Schizosaccharomyces pombe: one gene and its partner. The gene in region 1 interacts genetically with each later gene. Each region holds a gene or a part of one and is shown on either strand. Other genes may lie near its edges.

Region 1 (3,760 bases):
TGCTCCGAATTATGAACATCAATAGCATTGATGCTATCTTTTGTTTTGTTTTCGCTTAGTGAATTTGAAAAGTCTTCTCTGGAGAACTGCGATATCTCTACGCAACAATTGTAAAGAAGTTGTCTATAAGAAGGACGTTTATCGGCGATTTCCATTAAATCCTCATTAGGAAGAACAGATAGCAGATTATCAAGGCACTGAGTTGCAACGTCAATCAACGCATCAACTACATCCTGGCACTCACTTAACGGAAACATCCATTTTTGATCATTTGTTAATATAAGTAAAACGTTCATTGCATACGTTATTTCTTTTTCCAAAGTAGATTGCAGGCTCATGCACAAGGCTTGAATGTTTACAGTCCCCAGATCTACGATTGAAGGCATCTGAAGCCGAAGCAAAGATTCATCGAGCCTATACGTGGCCGCGACATTCAAGGGATAACCCAACATAGGATCGATGGGCTTTTTTATCGGTTGATAAGCAACGGGTTCGGCAGAATCAACAGGAGCTGCCGAAGAAGAAGTTTGAACGGTGGGCGGAGTGGGTCGAGTCGGAGCAGAAGGGTATGGTGGAGCATTTCTTTCAGAACTAACTGTGGTAGGAGCAGCTGGAGAGAAACGATTAGCGGTGAATGCTGGGGAGGGTGACTTTGAGTGAAGTGATCCATGCATAGAACCATTGGCATGTACAGCTTCTGGGGTGGTTTGGACCGGCTTTTGTGGATAGTTTTTTGGTCTGCTTTGAACATTCGCAGAATGATTAGCTTTTGCTTGTTGAAGTGATTTTTGTTGCTGTTGAGCAGCAAGCCATGCTTCTTCATATGGAAGCAGATAGGAATTGTAATATTGAATTAGAAGGGAAATAGCATCAGGAGATGGAAACCCCAAGGAAGCAGAAATTTTTGGCCAAAAATTATGAGCTGAGACTTGTCGAGATCCACCGGCACGCATAACCAAGGCGTACAGCATCATTAAATTAATAGGCGTATTATTTATTTGAGGATAAGATTTGATTGGCGTCCCCCGCTTTTCCATAAAAGAAATAAGGCTAACCATGAATTTGTCAAAACTAGCAGCATAAGCAGGCGTTAGTTGATTAGCATTACCAGAGGGAGTATTTGGGGAAGGTGCAGGTTGAGGAGTTTGTCTTACAGCTGGGTGGGCATTGATGCCAATTTGATTAGGAGGAATTTGTTGAGAGAGTAAGGCCTCTCTGCTTTGCATTTGTCGTTGATAAAGTTGTTGCTGCTGTTGCTGTTGTTGTTGCTGCTGCATTGCAGCCTCTTTTTCTTGTTGAAACGGGATCCGACTTGAAGGCATCATGGGACTAGAGTATTTCACAGATCCAGAGCCATTCCATGCACCGTTAGAGGCGAAATCAAATGATTGATTTGGCAAATTACGTTGAGTTGATGGAGATTGTCGGAAGGGCTGTGAATGAGCCAAATTGTTAGGCTCATTCTCGGAAGTATTCATCATGTTTGCATTTCCATATTCTGCTGCATACATCCCTTGGCTTGTCGAAAAGCGTTGAGGATACGCAGGTTGTTCTTCCTGAGTATTATAACTTTGACCTTGCGTGGGATATGATACTGCGGTTGGATAATCACTCGCAGGAACAAACCCTTGATTATTCATGATTCCTCATACTAAATCAAACAAAGAGTAAAGGGACCTTAAAATACACGTTTCAATATATTAACGTCTAAGGCGCTTGGCAGCTGAAAGTGCTTGAAAAGCAGACGAAGTGCATATAACGAGTTGTTTAGTGCTGCCTTTAAGAACCTAATCTGTGTGTTTCAGAAAATGCTTAAATTCCTAAAAAATCTTTACACTCATTCCTTTAAATCTCGCAAACGTGATTTCTTGCCTTTGCAGTGTCTCTTATTTCCAAGTCAATGACAATTGTTAGCATTGGGAAGCATTTATCGATTAGTCAGGTATCTAAAATTTTAAAAACAAAATAATATCTTATTCCTCTTGTAATAGAAACAATATTTATTAACTTGCTCTGTTAGTAGACTTGGCGAAACTGTAAACAATCACGAGTACAACATCTTCTTCTTGCGGAAACAGATATTTTTTTAATAAATTATTTTTTTTTTTTTTAAAATAGTAAAAGCATATGAGTTAACATATTCGAGATCCCGTTATCCTCCTTTTCTTTCTTTTTTTTTTTTTTTTTTTTTTGAAAGGAGCAATCAAAATTGACACATTAATTCAAATTTATCTGGTCTAACCTTTTTTTTATTTTTTATTCATTATTTTTCCTTCTTTCTTTCTGGCTACATAAGACTCGACGCAATGTCATTTTATAAATTTCATTGTTTTCTATAAACGTGCTTTCATATGTGTAAACCTATTGATGAATGAAACAAGATAGTAGAATATGGTAATTTCTATTATCAAGCAATTGGATTTAGGTTGTTGAACTCTATGGACAAGGGCTTGTACGTGTAAAATATATATGTTTATGACTTAATTATTTACTTTTGCAAATCTATGGTTTCAAGTCAACTCGCAAAAGGAATATCCGATTCAAGAAGGAAAAAAACTAAATACTACAATAAAAAAAGGTTTGTAGTATTTGAGATAAAGATGGAGATGCTATATTGCACATGTAGAATTTGATGGCATAAACAAGAATTAGATTTGAAACAAAAGTCAACTAACACAACTTTCAAGTCCACGTATAAAGCGATTTCTATTCTGACGGTTCATAAAATGTTTAATGAGCTTGCAAACTAAAACCAAGTAATTCGGAAATTAGGTATTTACAAGCTGATAATTAAAATGTGAACCCTTGAATTATTGATAATGAATTATAGATTTTATTAGTTTTAATTCCTTTTTTAAGTAATTTATCAAGTATAGTCCAACTATTTATTTACAAATATTGGTATATTAGGGTGTTTTAATAGAAAAAAAAACAAAAATTAAGCGAAGAAAAGTATTACATTAACAAGCCTGAAAAAGAAGCAAACAAACTAATTAAAAGATGTTAACTATATCAAACTTAAGAGAAAATTATTTAATAAATAAAACCGGAATTAAAAATTCTCTATAACGATGTTAGAGAAATTGTTCTAGTTACGTCGGTGTCCTTCAAAATCTGCCCTTAACCACAATCCCTGTAGGAAAACTATGGATGACATTCCAACTCTTCTTGCGAGAACATTAAACCCTACGACTTCCAAAAGTGGTAAGATACCCCAACAGAGTGGATAAAGCAAATTTACTAACTGATATAGCTGAGGAAGCACTGAAAGTATGGGAATTACAAGATAGTTCTTTTGCACTAAAACTCCTCAATATTGTCGCTGAGGATACAGTAGACATCAATATTAAGCTGGCCGCTTCATTGTATTTCAAAAATTACATTAAAAAACATTGGGATTCTGAGGAAGGTGCTTCTATTCGTATCAGCGATGAGGTGGCAGAATTGATCAAACGCGAAATAATCAACTTGATGCTGAAAAGTACTACCATTATTCAAGTTCAGCTAGGTGAAGTAATTGGTTATATTGCCAACTTTGATTTCCCTGATCGGTGGGACACTCTTCTCCCCGATCTGATATCTAAATTGTCTGCTGTTGACATGAACACGAATATTGCTGTACTTTCTACTGCACATGCGATTTTTAAGCGCTGGAGACCTTTATTCCGTAGCGATGCACTTTTTTTGGAGATCAAATATGTGTTGGATCGTTTTTGCGAACCATTTCTCGCTCTCTTCGTGCAAACCAACAACTTATTGC
Region 2 (3,131 bases), on another chromosome or scaffold:
TACCAAAGTATTTGTCTAAGCATTCAACAAACTTATGGATGACTTCTAATATAATTAACTCATTATCATCCTGTTCAATTCCACAAACAAAAAACAAGGAAGCATATCGTCGGTAAACAATTTTTTCGCCTAAGACAAATACAGTTAATTCATATTTTGAATAAAAATACCAATTTTTTTACCTTTATATTCAACAAAATTGCACATTTTTGGTTTTCGTGTAATCACCAGTGAAGAAACATCACGGATTATTTTGGCTCTCTCCTTGATTGACAAAGTATTGAACCATTTAGCTAAACGCACCTTTCCCTGGCGGCTTACGAGTAGAAAGAACTTTATAGACATCTTATAAAAGCTTATTAAATGCTTATACGCTGCTTTAAAGGGGATTGACACTATAAGGTAAACGATGTTTCAATTCGTAACCGCTATGGACGAAAGCTCATAAAGGTTACAAAAAAAAGGTAATAAATAATCAGAAACAAAACAGTTATCTAACGTTGACTGCCAAGATTGACTTAACGCTCACTATTGCTTGGTGTTGATAGCGGTAGTTAGGTAGTGCGTGTGCCAACTCTAAAGCAACTAAATACATAGGGCATCGGCAAAAGGTCCATAGACTAATTAAACCATATGAAGGATACCATAAAGACTAAACAATAAATGAAAGATTTTTTATAAAAAATTTTCTAGAGACTAGTATTTAGAACATCATCCTATCATGGTACGTTTACGGCCACGCATTCGTACTTCTTCAAATCTTCGAAGTGTTGCCTTAGATTGTTTCCAACTTTGGGCATAAGAGTCTAAAACATGATGAAACTTCAAACAGTTAGAATTTAAGTGCTTTAAGTCTAATAGTTAACATACCAAAGATTCGCTTTCTGGTAAAGTACTTGATAAAGCTCTCTCTAGGACGTAAATATCCACAGCTTTATCTTCCTCAGATTCGGAAACGCTTCCTAAACCGAAATCAATAAAAATTGGGACCGGATTGTTGTGAGACTCCAGCATCATATTACTAGTTGTCAAATCTCCATGAACGATATCATTCTTATGCATCTTCGCAACTTCTGATCCTATTCGCTTCATTAAAGGAATAAGTTTTTTTTCAATCTCACATTCGCAGATCTCTCGAATATAATCTCGTACACAAGGTCCATCAATCCATTCCATATATATTTGACCACGATTGGCATCTATAAAGTACAGCATGGGACATTTTATTCCAACGTAATGACATTTTGCTAAAAGTCTTGCTTCCACTAAGCAGCGTTTTCTTGATAATTTCTGATCTAAAATAGGATGTCTCCATCGTTTCGCAGGTCGGCACTTCAAAAGACAAACCTCACCTGGATAAAACTCGGTTTTTATCGTGATTGCTTCTGCACCTTGCTTTACCACAGTTAATTTCTTTTCCTTTATTTCACGATATATATCAGAACATCTTTGCCTAAGGTCAGGTTTTTCTGACATTTTAGAGTTATGTAAATGAAGATGGGATTTGGAATGATAATATGCGTTAGAGATCCGAAAATGTCACAAATTTAAACTGTCTTTAGAAAATTATCGTAAGAACTGTCAAATACTAATAAATATTTTTTAGACTTAAATTGATTAATTTCTGTTATTTACCCACGATTTAAATGTAATACAAAAATTAATTGAGTTATCCAAGAAAAATTACAGCATAAAGTTGACACTTCATTTAATATCATAGCCTTATATGTTCGTTTTTTTTTTTAATTCAGTTTATTAGTGTCTGCTGCATATCAAATCAAGTCTGGTTTTACAGAATCAATATGCTGATTTAATGTTAATGTTAATAACTTAAGAGTATTTAATTTAATAATTAAATGTATGATTTTAAGGGTTCATCACTTGAAAACACGTAAATTTGTTTGTTCAGAAAACCAACACAAACTCGATAGTGTCTATACAGGAAGACGTTTTCTAGATGCATTGCTTGTTCTTCATTCAATACACTTAACTCCGTAGGAGCTATATTTGTAATTTCTTCCAAAAGCTTTTGACTAAATTTTGGGTTTTTAACACTTCCAGTTTCATCGACAATTATGCTTATTAAATCTGCAAATCTCAAACCTGTCAAATCATTGCCATAAACTAATCCCCCTTCTTTTGTTAAATCTTTAATTTTACTTTGCATTATTAAAACGCCAACCTGCCCAAAAGCTTCTCCAGATTGGCTGGCTATTTTTTCAAGAGCCTCTAGGGTGCTCAATCTATAAGCATTTATCTTAATAAGTTCTTTTCTTTTGATTGAAAAATTTAATAGTTTCAAAACTTTACCATCAAATGACTGAAGTGTTTGAATTATTGCATCTTTAATTGACAATTCCAGCATTCCGGTATTGGTTCGGTAGGCAATTGCATTATGAATCAACAAAACTAAAAATTTTGGTGAGTAGGTACATACCTGAATAGAAATCTTTACATACTTGTTTCATTGTTCCAACTGAGAGCGGATTTAACTTGGGACTCTCCTATCAACACGATCATGGCTGATCCAGAAATATCGTGTACGTGTATCGTTTGTTTAGGTAGAGATTTTTTTGTTTCATTATTAAATATCTCGAATTCTTCTTTCCACTGTATTGCAACTAATACATTGACGAACGCCCCATCTTTAAAGTCATTCACTAGTGACAGCGGAACAATATTGTCGCTACCAAACCCAGGACATGGTATTTGCTCTGGTTCAGAAATTGTAGCTTCAATCTTGCTTTCCAAATTTTTGGAATGAATCTGTAGTTTCCAAGCTCTTATCCCAGAAACACGACAGACTACGTCGCTATAGACGAAAACTGAAATGCCGAGTTGTAACTGTCTCAGCATTTCAAATTTTGGCGAATACTTGGATAAACTATAGTTCAATTCAACAATTCCAGTATCATCCATAAGTTTAAACATATAACAAACCTCGTTGGATGAGACACGCTTATTTTTTAAATTAACTATCTTTCCCTTAAAATAGTATCTAAATGTACTTGTCCCTAACTCGTTAATTTTTTTGAATTCATACAATTTCCAATTGATAAACTCAGATAAGTAAACTTCCATTTTTATCTGTAATTTGTGGTGGTTTGCTTTATTTCTTTGGATGCATGAAA

Evidence for each region. A genetic interaction does not mean that the proteins touch.
Region 2: mutations in sol1 (region 1) and bud32 together harm fitness more than expected from each alone (negative genetic interaction), as found in Schizosaccharomyces pombe (one large-scale study listed by BioGRID).

Annotation. Positions count from the first base shown.
Region 1 is NC_003423.3:1,310,085-1,313,844, forward strand, and holds the start of sol1 (SWI/SNF complex subunit Sol1), read right to left. Parts: upstream 1,719-3,760; 5' UTR 1,641-1,718; coding exon 1-1,640. Other genes in the region: karyopherin/importin beta family nuclear export signal receptor Kap109, read left to right, coding at 3,147-3,204, 3,254-3,760.
Region 2 is NC_003424.3:1,619,787-1,622,917, forward strand, and holds bud32 (serine/threonine protein kinase), read right to left. Parts: upstream 1,507-3,131; 5' UTR 1,477-1,506; coding exon 871-1,476; exon of another isoform or gene 823-870; coding exon 712-822; 3' UTR 582-711; downstream 1-581. Other genes in the region: vas2 (AP-1 adaptor complex sigma subunit Aps1), read right to left, coding at 1-129, 183-345; protein meu32, read right to left, coding at 1,853-2,409, 2,460-3,081.